Pelodiscus sinensis: one gene and its partners. The protein of the gene in region 2 interacts with the protein of the main gene of each other region in a biochemical or structural test. Links are inferred from orthologs where the notes say so. Each region holds a gene or a part of one and is shown on either strand. Other genes may lie near its edges.

Region 1 (3,744 bases), on a different chromosome or scaffold from region 2:
GGGTTAGAGATACAGCCAGGGACACCCACCCCAGCCCCTCCTGCTGCCCCCTGGGGACTGGGAGCAGGTTAGAGATACAGCCAGGGACACCCACCCCAGCTCCTCCTCTGCCCCCTGGGGACGGGGAGTGGGTTAGAGATACAGCCAGGGACACCCACCCCAGCCCCTCCTGCTGCCCCCTGGGGACGGGGAGTGGGTTAGAGATACAGCCAGGGACACCCACCCCAGCCCCTCCTGCTGCCCCCTGGGGACGGGGAGTGGGTTAGAGATACAGCCAGGGACACCCACCCCAGCCCCTCCTGCTGCCCCCTGGGGACGGGGAGCGGGTTAGAGATACAGCCAGGGACACCCACCCCAGCCCCTCCTGCTGCCCCCTGGGGACTGGGAGCAGGTTAGAGATACAGCCAGGGACACCCACCCCAGCCCCTCCTGCTGCCCCCTGGGGACGGGGAGCGGGTTAGAGATACAGCCAGGGACACCCACCCCAGCCCCTCCTGCTGCCCCCTGGGGACGGGGAGCGGGTTAGAGATACAGCCAGGGACACCCACCCCAGCCCCTCCTGCTGCCCCCTGGGGACGGGGAGCAGGTTAGAGATACAGCCAGGGACACCCACCCCAGCCCCTCCTGCTGCCCCCTGGGGACTGGGAGCGGGTTAGAGATACAGCCAGGGACACCCACCCCAGCCCCTCCTGCTGCCCCCTGGGGACTGGGAGCAGGTTAGAGATACAGCCAGGGACACCCACCCCAGCCCCTCCTCTGCCCCCTGGGGACTGGGAGCGGGTTAGAGATACAGCCAGGGACACCCACCCCAGCCCCTCCTGCTGCCCCCTGGGGACTGGGAGCAGGTTAGAGATACAGCCAGGGACACCCACCCCAGCCCCTCCTGCTGCCCCCTGGGGACTGGGAGCGGGTTAGAGATACAGCCAGGGACACCCACCCCGGCCCCTCCTGCTGCCCCCTGGGGACGGGGAGCGGGTTAGAGATACAGCCAGGGACACCCACCCCAGCCCCTCCTGCTGCCCCCTGGGGACGGGGAGCAGGTTAGAGATACAGCCAGGGACACCCACCCCAGCCCCTCCTGCTGCCCCCTGGGGACTGGGAGCGGGTTAGAGATACAGCCAGGGACACCCACCCCGGCCCCTCCTGCTGCCCCCTGGGGACGGGGAGCGGGTTAGAGATACAGCCAGGGACACCCACCCCAGCCCCTCCTGCTGCCCCCTGGGGACGGGGAGCGGGTTAGAGATACAGCCAGGGACACCCACCCCGGCCCCTCCTGCTGCCCCCTGGGGACTGGGAGCGGGTTGGAGATACAGCCAGGGACACCCCTACCCCCACCCTGCCCTTCCGGCTAGGGATGGGCAAGGGAGGAGCTAGAAACACAGGAGAGATGCCCCCAACCCCCACCTCCCTTCCTGCTGTCCCTTGGAGTCGAGGGGGCAGTTAGAGGCATGGCCAGGGAAGCCCACAATCCTGACCTTGGAGACTGGGGGGGCAGAAACTCAGCCAGGGTCCCCTCTCCCCCATGATCCCATCTTCCCAGGGTCCAGGTTAGAGAGCCAGAATGCCCCACCCCCCACCAGCCCCAGGGCACATCTGCCACTGGCCTCTCTCCACTGCCCACACCACTCAGCCCCAACCCCTACATCTCCCCTCCGTCCGAAAGACACTGACCCCAACAGCCTCCCCATAGCACCACCACTTCTCCTGCTCCAGACAGTCCTCAGCAGGCAGTGACCACCCCAGGCGCCTCCTGCTCAACTAGTCCCCAGGGGGCCTCTGCAATGCCTATGGAGAAGCCTCAATCCTCACCCCAGGTACCCCCCCGCAGAGAGATGGGGTGTCCAGACGGGGGGCTCAGCCAAGCCCCTGAACCCCAACACGTACTGTCCATATCTAATGAGAGAGCCACTCACCAGCCTCCTGGCTCCTAATGTGACCCAAGAGCAGAGCCTGACCTCAGCCCTTCATTAGCTTCACCCCAGCTCCCCAGAGCCCCCTTTCCCCAAACAGTGGCTCCCTAGACCCCCAACGACTCTTCCAGCCCAATGCACCCAGGAATCCCAAACCGCCCTCCAATGGATGCCCCTTCTGCCCCCCGAGCTCCCTGGGAGCTGGGCACTTGGGCAGCCTCCCAGCTGCTTAGCAAAGCGCCCAAAGCTGGGTTTGTGTTTCTAAGGGTGGTGCCCATCCGCACAGGCCTCGGTGCGCAGAGCAGCATTTATTCCACACATGGATCACAAAATTATAGGGAACATTGACCGCCCTGTTCCGCCCCCCCCCCAGCTCAGCCCCCCCGGGAATCACCCCCCCCCCAAACCTTCCCCTCGGGGCCACTCGCCCCCCCCCCAGCCCTTCCGGCCTCCCGCCCCACAGCGCCCGGGGCCCTCGACTCCCAGCGCTGCACTCGTGGGACCCCCCGGCCCCCCCGCAGCCCGGCCCCCCCGCTGCCCCCCCCACTCACGGCCGAGTTTCAGGCCCGGCGGGAAGGCCCCGCCGCCCCCCCCCGGCCCGGGCCCCGCCGCCCCCGCCTTGCCGCCCGGCGCTGTCCCCGGGGGGGCCCCGGGCGGGGCGGGGGCTCCGGGGCCGGGGGGGGCCCCGCCCGAGGCGGTGTCGGCGAACGAGCTGGTCCGGGGCCGGGAGGGGCCGGCGCTGCCGCTGCTCATGGCGAGGCCGGACGGGGGGGGGGCGGGGGCTGCCGGCCTGCGCATGCGCCGCCTAGCCCCGCCCCCTGCCGGCCGCGCGAGCCGCCCGGAAACCGAGTCCGGGCCACGCCCCCTTCCACCGCGCGGGTCGCCGGGAAACGGAGTCCGGGCCCCGCCCCCTTCCAGCGCGCGGGCCGCCGGGAAATGTAGTTTCCTGAACCCCCGCCCTGAGGTCAAAAGCTCCAGGTTCCTGCCCCCTGTTGGAGCGCAGGGCCCCGCCCCCAGGGGGACGCTGCGGTTTCCAGCCCCCCCCACGTGGTGCCCCAGCGCTTCCACCCCTCCCCCCGCTCCCGGGCGGGGGCAGCAGGGCCCGGAGATCCCCCCCCCCGCACCCCCCAGGGCACGAGCCCAGCAGGCGGGGAAAAGACCAAAAGCTTCTGCCCCGCGGGGGGAGCGGGGGTCCGGGAGCGTCCTGGGCTCCAAGCCTGGCAACCCCCCCAGGGGCCATGGGGAGCCGCTCCCTGCCCTGGGGCACGGGGGGTTCTAGGTGTGACCTGCCCTGGGGCTCGGGGGGTTCTAGGTGTGACCTGCCCTGGGGCTCGGGGGGGTTCTAGGTGTGACCTGCCCTGGGGCACCGAGGGGGGGTTCTAGGTGTGACCTGCCCTGGGGCACCGAGGGGGGGTTCTAGGTGTGACCCTGCCCTGGGGCTCGGGGGGGGGGGTTCTAGGTGTGACCTGCCCTGGGGCACCGAGGGGGGTTCTAGGTGTGACCCTGCCCAGGGGGGTTCTAGGTGTGACCCTGCCCTGGGGCTCGGGGGGGTTTTAGGTGTGACCCTGCCCAGGGGGGTTCTAGGTGTGACTCTGCCCTGGGGCACCGAGGGGGGGTTCTAGGTGTGACCCTGCCCAGGGGGGTTCTAGGTGTGACTCTGCCCTGGGGCACCAAGGGGGGTTCTAGGTGTGCCCCTGCCCCGGGGGGGTTCTAGGTGTGACCCTGCCCGGGGCACGGGGGGGCTGCTACGTGTGACCCTGCCCGGGGCACTGGGGGGGTTTCTAGGTGTGCCCCTGCCCTGGGGCACAGGGGGGGGCTGCTCCGTGTGACCCTG
Region 2 (3,744 bases):
GTGGTCTAGAGAAGGGAAGATGGGTAGAATTCTGGGAGGCTGAGAGGTGTTAGAAGAGGAGGAGCTGGGGGGCGGATTTAAATTCATTTGTAACCTTGGGCAGAGGAGAATATCTGTCCCCTTACATTCTGGCCCGTGCTGCGCGAGCACATGGCTGCACAACCCACCATTATTTTGGACCGACGGAAGCAACTAACGTTTAATTTGCCGTGTGGCCAGCCTGTGAGCTTCACTGCCATTGTCCAGCGCTGTAACATGAGAGAGACTGGATGGTTTTGTGGCCTACAAAATCCTGCAGTTATGCCAGCAAAGAGAATGATAGCCAAGGCTGGCCTTTTGGGCATGCTCTGCTGGGAGAGAATCTACCCACGGGGTGCACAGAACATAACGGATTGCCCACCAGCATATTACTGAGGCAGGAGGGAGTTTTCAGCATGGGAGACAGGATAACATGATCAGCTACGGCAAATCCCATGTGTATGTTGGTACCCTGCCTCTTCCCAGCAAGGGCGCAGGCAGGCAGAGATGATGGATGATTCCATGTATATCACCAAAGCAAAGTGGTTCTGGTTTCAAGCCTATTGACAGGGACAAGATTCCTTTAAAGCCAAGAGAAGTTGCAGAATTGAATTTGCTCCTGCAAATGGCAGCGTGGAGTGGTTACAAGAAGTCTCTTAAGTTTTTTTTTTTTGTGTTGCAAGAATGACTTTCCGTTGACGTATCTATGCTAACTGTGCCACACTTGATATCCTACCCTTCCTCTTCGCCCCCACAGAGGAGCTGAGCTCCCCAAGGCCATGGGAGAGAGTGGAACTTGGAAGTCAGGAGCATGCGGCAAGGGAGATTCAGCCAGAAAAACAATCAGGTGAGGTTCTTCCGGAGACTCTTGTCCACTTGTATGAAATGGAGACTGGAGAACAGGCAGCAGAAATCCCTGCCAGTGCTGAGACCTCGATACCTGTGCCCCTGGGTATCTGTGAAGACTTCAGAGCCTCTGAAGAAAGCCAAGAGGCAATCTCCAGCACTTTGTTTACTGCGCCCTGGGACCGTGGTGGCAAAGAGGATGCTGGAGCGAGGAAAATGTTGGCCGATGACTTTGCCACATCTGCAGTTTCTGAATTCTCTCGGAGTGGTCCAAGTGATGAAATGTCCCATCGCGAGACACTTGCTACTCGGTTTGAAAAGTCGCCCCTGGGTGTTGATGATGTGGGGTATGATCCAAGGGACAGCTCCTGTATCAAAGGGGGGCCATCTCCTTTACATGCCAGCGGCAAATTGAAAGAAGAGGCCTCTGCGCAGGAAAAAGATGAGGACCGCGACATTGACGAAACTGTTCAGCAGGGTTCACCATCCTCATTATGCCGACAAGACTCGATGCTTGAAGCATTTCCCCATCCAGCCGCGGCCGAGGAAGCTGTAGAGGTGGATGCAGAAGGCAGGGAAGCTCATAAAGTGGCAGAGACTCTAGATGACACTCAACGGTGGCTGTCGGGGAAAGTGTATGATGCTGTCGTCCCGATGGAGCCCTCCGTAAGGATGTACCAAGTGGAAGTGGAAGCTAACGTAATAAGGGAGAGGGAAATCTCAGCTTCTCCACTAGAAGCAGCCACGTTTCCCGATAGGTTAAAAAAGGACGTGGCAGATGGAAGCGTTTCCGTGCAACAGGAGACGGGGGGAATGGTGCAGGCCATGGCAAAACAAGAGGCACTCAAAAAGAAACCTGCAACTCACATGTCAGAGAAACAAGTCAGTCGGGTTCCTCGTTTAAAAGGTGTGTGCATCTCGTTTTCCTGCTCCGCACTTGCTTCTCCAATGAGTTGCTTGGGGCAAGGCTGCTACAACCTCTACTGGCACCCCTTGCGTCCTGCTGCTTGAGAGTTGGCCGTAGGTGTTTGTGCCAAACGAATTCAGAGAGTGCTGCTGCTTTTCTCCCTCAGTTTATGCCTCGCCCTTGGTTTGGTTCATTGGCCTCACCCTCCGCTTCAGTTCTTGCTTGGATGCTGGCGTGCTCCCGGTTGTGCTTTTCTCCCTTTTCTTTTCAGTGTCTTTCGGTTGATCACAGCTGCTATGTAGGCTCTTTGATTTCACCCACCACTCTAAATAGATATAAAAGAAAAGTGTGAGAGGGACTTGTTCTGGGCATTAGCCTCCCTGGAGTAGCGTTGACACAGAGCAGGCTACATAGTTTCATAGCCGTTGCTAGTAAAGCGCATATGGCCAGGGGAGCCGACCCGTTCTGCGGGCCCCAGGCAAGATGGGGCGTCCAGCTCTATACACCCAAAAGGGGCGGGGCTTCAGACGGAAGGGGCGGAGCCAGAGGCAGCCAGCCCTCTGTCGCCCAGTACACGACACCTTCACCTCCTTCAGCTCTCAGAGCTGCCCAGTAGGGACGTTCGATCGCGTGTAGTCGAACAGTCGTGTTACCCCATCAAATTTTAGCAGTTACACGCCATAGTCAGCAGTCAGTGTGCACCCTTCCCCACTCCCGGGGAGCCTCCTGCCACCCTGCACTGCTGCCTCTAAATCTATTTGAAAACCCCCTTCCCATGCAGACCAGCTCCCCCTGCTGCTGCCTCCTGATTGAGGTGGCAGCAGCCCCTGTCTGTGGTTGGCCCGAGCTCCCCATGGACAGAGGCTGCTTTGCGGCAGCCTCCCCTGTTCCCTTCTCCTCTCCCCCTCCCCCCCACACACGCTGCTGTATCTAATAGAAGTAAAGTTAGGCCTGAGAACTGTGTTCCCTGTAAGTTGAGCACTTGGGTGGCCTCCCAGGAGAGATTCAGGTGCCGCCCTGCTGATTAGAGGCAGTTCTATCAGAGGCAGCAGGGTGGGGTGGGGGGGAAGGGACAGGCAGCACCGGCCTCCCCCCGCACTCTGCTGTCTCTGTAGAGGCACGCTGACATCCCAGGGCAATTGCCCCTGTGCCCCACTCGCCATTGGCGGGTTTCCGGCGAGCCAGCCCTTCGTGTCAGTGTTTCTAACAGTGCGAGAGGAGGACAGCAGGCAGGACTGTGTCCTCCCTTTGCAGGCCCAGCACTATGTGCAAGACCACCCCAGAGAGATGGCGGAGTTGTTGGGTGTATTAGAGAGGAGCGAGGTGACACTTGGCTGTGAGATGCCTAAGGGTGTCTGCCGAGAAACCTTGATGCATGTAACTGCTCCGTTAATAGCACTGCAATCAGGTCGCGCTACATTTAGGTGTTCAACTTTGTGCAACCAGGTTAGCTTAACCGGCAAGAGTAGGTGCCTAGATTCAGCCTGTTGGGGCACAAATGCCTTTGCTTGTGTGACAGGCCATTTTTCCTCTGCATTCGAGAGCTATTTCTCCTTTCATCCGAGGGAAACCTTGGGAGGTAGCCTGTTCACTAAAACATGGCTGCTCAGGAGGCTTGCAAGTTAGTGCACAGGCGTGAAAAACACAACGTGAGTTCTTTGGGGGCCAGACCAGGTGCAGCCATCCAGAGTTCGAACGTGTTTCTTCTGCTAGAGACGTGACAGTACAGTCGATTAACTGGTTAACCGATAAGCTAATGCTATAGGCTGCATGCATGTCCTTCCCCCCCCAACCTGCCAGTACATTTTTTAGCAGGCTGGCCAGCAGCCCAGCTCAGTCCTGGTTCGCGCTGGGTCCGGGGCCTACCTCCGCTGCCACTCTGCATTTATAGTGTATTGGGAGTCTGGTGGGCAGGCAGGCTGGTTCAGTTCCAGCTCGTGCCAGGTCTGGGAGTCCAGCCCCTCCTCTGGACA
Region 3 (3,744 bases), on a different chromosome or scaffold from region 2:
TTTCCTTCTCTTTCCCTTCCCATCCCCTCTCTTTCTCTGCTGTTTATTTGTACCCTGGACCCCTTAACTCCAGTTATCGGAAGAAGTGGGCTGTGCCCATGAAAGCTCATGATACCATCTACATGTTTTGTTAGTCTACAAAGTGCTACCAGACCATTTTTTGGTTTTTTTCTGTAATAGACTAACTTGGCTACCCCCTGAAGCATCTATATTCGTGTTAGTCTCTGAGGTGCTACAGGACTATTCGTTGTTTTTTCAGTTACAGACTAACATGACTACCCTTCTGAAACTATATGCTTTGTAATGTTTCTTCAGAGTGGAGACTAATCTCTGTGGGTCACAGATTGAATTTTCAATCCAGTACAACATCCAAGCATTTAAATAAATACCTAGCAAAAGGAGCTGCAAATCATTTGTTTTATACCAAGCCCATTTTGAGCAATACCAGCACAAAACCATCTGATCTCCCCCACCCTTTATTTCTAACTCTGCTTTACAAATGTACATATAGTCATCCAACAACTGAATCTGGCCAAATGAGGCTATCTGGGGTATAAATCAGAGCAGAATTTGATCCCTGTGTGCTTTTCCATATATCATACTAGTCACCTCAAATAATGTTTAACATTATATATCATTCTATTTATTTCTTTGTTCTCCACTTTTGTGCTGGCCCTCTGATTAATCTGTTTGTCAAAAATCACATAACTCAGAGAAATGTGAGTACAGGTATTATTTAGACACAAATATGGAGCAAGTGAATTGCAGGCAAGACAATGGGTCACAAAGTATCCCTGATAGACACAAATATGGAGCAAGTGAATTGCAGGCAAGACAATGGGTCACAAAGTATCCCTGAAACAGGCATGACAAAATACAGTGAAGTTTTTCATAACATTAACAAGAACTTTGCTATTCATGAAAATGATCTCTGAGCTCTAACACACTTAGTTTTTTCTGCCTCATTCTAAAGAAACAGCCAGGTTTTATTTCTGATTCACAGAGACAATGACTCTGCAAGATCCTTGGCAGTGTTGCAATTTTAATTCAGCTAAATGTGCACATAACATGAAGGATTCTTTGACAGATGAATAGACTCTGTAAACAAACTCGTCATTGTCTCCCTGCACCTAGAAACAGTTTTAAATGAGCCTTGAGGTATTTTAGGTGAAGGTTTCAGGTGATGCAACAGTGTTATATCAACTAGTGAGAAGGCTACTGAAGGGGGAAAACAGTGGATCCGGTGATTTACTCACCTAAAGTTTTATTTAAAGAGAGCAATATTAAGTTGTTTGAAAGATAGCACCAGTCACCTTTACCTCCACCCCCTAAAATGAATGCACCAGATTTGCCCTCCCCTCAATTGCAGTGTGAATAAAAGAATCATCCTAGCAAACTTTAATTCATGCATGCTGCTCAGCAATCAGGAAGGTCTTAAATCCACAGGGGAAAAGAGGGGAAGCCTCTTTTCAGCAGAAGGAATGACCCAGGTTACCCTTAGCAACCCATGAGGAATTCCAGAGCTCAACATTACTGTGAGCGCTCAACCCCAGCTCTCCTCTCCCTTCGCCTAACCCTAGTGGGGGCGGGGAAGAGGAAGTCACACACAGAGCAACCCCCTGTGCATCGTACAGAGAGGAAGAGCAAGCCTATAGCATTATTGGGTCCATAGCAGATACTCATATAAAGACCCTATGGGCCAGAGGTGCTTAACTAGGGGCGCTGGAATTGCTGCCGCGCTTCCTGGCTTGAAGTGGTTTCCATCATACCCAAGGATTAGAGTTTGGATCAATGGCCCTCAGCAGCCCCGCTGCACAAACTGCTCCAGCCCCGCTTGACTACCCCGCATCGACCACACAGAGCAGCCCATTGACAGAGTCCTTCCCCCCCTCCCCGCATCCTGGGCGTTTCACAAACACGCCCACCCCGGGCTCGCCGATACCAACCCAGGCCTAGCGACCCGCCGTGCAAAGGGGCTCCCGCGAGTTGTTTGCGCCCAGCCACTAGGCGAGCAGGGCAATTCTCGCTGGCCGGGGCGGGAGCCCGGAGCTGTCTCCCCGGCAGGGGCCCGAGCTCTCCCGCGGCGCGCACTTACCACACGGAGCCGTAGGCTCCGGAGCCCACCGGGGTCAGGTTCTGGTAGCGCTGGGGAACCTCCCACACCGTCTTGTTCAATTCCTGCTTGTAGAAGCCGCCTCGCGCGGACATTGTGCGCAGCACCAGCCGCCGCCGCAGCAGCAGCAGCAGCAGCACCAGCTCAGCCGCCAGAGCGCTCCAGCTGGAAAGCGCCGGGCGGGCACCGCCGGCGGGGGGCAGGGAGGAGGGACCGGGGAGGGGCAGAGGGAGGGGTAAGCGGCAAGAGGAGGGGAGAAAGGAGGAGGGGCACGTAGAAAGGTAGCCAGAAATGCGAGCCCAGGGCCAATGTCGCTGCACACACAGAGTCACAGCAAGGGGCGGGGCGGGGCAGGCCCTGGTTCATGAACACAGCGGACAACAACAGACCAGAAGGCTGGGAGCGTGGGGGCGGAGGGGAACCCGGCAGAGCTCAGACTATCTGCCGGAGCCTGGAAGAATCAGGGCATCCCCTGCCCCGCCTCTTCCAATTCAGCAGAGAGCGCAGAGAGAAAAGGCGGGACCTACCTGGTCACCCAGTTTTGCCAAAGCAGCTGTTCGCGGGTTCTATTCTATTATTGAATGTAATGTAAATGTACTTGAAGCAAAATGCAGGACAATGTAGCACTTTAAAGACTAACAAGATGGTTTATTAGATGATGAGCTTTCGTGGGCCAGACCCACTTCATGTAAATGTACTGATACGGCAGGAAGCTCCCTACCTCACGGATCTGGCTACCAGGCTGTTTTACCTTCTTGCCAGCGTTAGTAATTTTTCTGGTGAATCTCATGATGAATAGGTAGTATTTTTCTTGAAGCCCCAGCCTCCCTTGATTATTTTGACTGTCAGCTAGCATTTACAGAAGAACTCAGGGTTAAAATGAAAAGCTTAACAAACACAACCCCTAAAGGCTCAAAAACCACAAAACAAATAAAAAGAACCCTGTTTATTTTTACCATCTTGTGTTTTTAAGCCAATCTCGTGATTTTTGAAGGCAAGTTAGCAATACAGAAATATTCACCCTATATTTACCCCCCCAGTTACTTCTCATTATTTCTTATAGCCCCTTGTGCTGCTTACCCAAATATATATTTAATCTTTCTTCATAAGTCCCCTTATGAATCTTCCATTTCCCAGATCGCTTTGTTGCTCTGCCCTGAATTCTGTTTCACCACACTGTCACCAACCCCACTGCACGGTGTCAGTGTGTGTAGTGGTGCATCAGTCACTGGGTGGGCATAGCTCTATCTGGAAAGCAAGTTTTGTAGGTACTCCAAGCCCTGTGGGCTTTGGATTCTGGCTTTTAGTTGATTTCCCCTTCCCCATCCAAAACCACCTCTATTTTGTTTCACTACCACTGTGAGAAATAGCACTGGGGACACTTGATTAACAGTTTCAACAAACAAACAGACAAAGATAAACACAGCAGTTATCAATCCAACCAACTGGGGCAAGGCAATCTAAACAAGGGATGTGAAGGTAACAAAGTCCAGGTGCCTCCTGGCACCAATAGGATAAGCCTGTATCCTACTCCTAGGCCCTGGCTCCCAGTCTTCCTGATATTCAGCCATCCCTTCCTAGCCTGCTCCCTCTCTGCTATCTCACATTAGGGATGTGAATGACTTGTCAAC

Evidence for each region.
Region 1: of the proteins of MAPT (region 2) and GSK3A, one has a biochemical effect on the other in vitro, tested with the Homo sapiens proteins (4 studies listed by BioGRID and IntAct). The link is inferred for Pelodiscus sinensis from reciprocal best matches to the Homo sapiens genes MAPT and GSK3A.
Region 3: of the proteins of MAPT (region 2) and mitogen-activated protein kinase 11, one has a biochemical effect on the other in vitro, tested with the Homo sapiens proteins (2 studies listed by BioGRID). The link is inferred for Pelodiscus sinensis from reciprocal best matches to the Homo sapiens genes MAPT and MAPK11.

What each region holds. Positions count from the first base shown.
Region 1 is NW_027465888.1:163,262-167,005, forward strand, and holds the start of GSK3A (glycogen synthase kinase-3 alpha), read right to left. Parts: upstream 2,679-3,744; 5' UTR 2,664-2,678; coding exon 2,462-2,663; intron 1-2,461. UniProt on the Homo sapiens protein: Constitutively active protein kinase that acts as a negative regulator in the hormonal control of glucose homeostasis, Wnt signaling and regulation of transcription factors and microtubules, by phosphorylating and inactivating glycogen synthase (GYS1 or GYS2), CTNNB1/beta-catenin, APC and AXIN1.
Region 2 is NC_134739.1:7,126,335-7,130,078, reverse strand, and holds the start of MAPT (microtubule-associated protein tau), read left to right. Parts: upstream 1-873; 5' UTR 874-903; coding exon 904-1,771; intron 1,772-3,744. UniProt on the Homo sapiens protein: Promotes microtubule assembly and stability, and might be involved in the establishment and maintenance of neuronal polarity.
Region 3 is NC_134711.1:37,481,254-37,484,997, forward strand, and holds the start of mitogen-activated protein kinase 11, read right to left. Parts: upstream 2,401-3,744; 5' UTR 2,209-2,400; coding exon 2,096-2,208; intron 1-2,095. UniProt on the Homo sapiens protein: Serine/threonine kinase which acts as an essential component of the MAP kinase signal transduction pathway.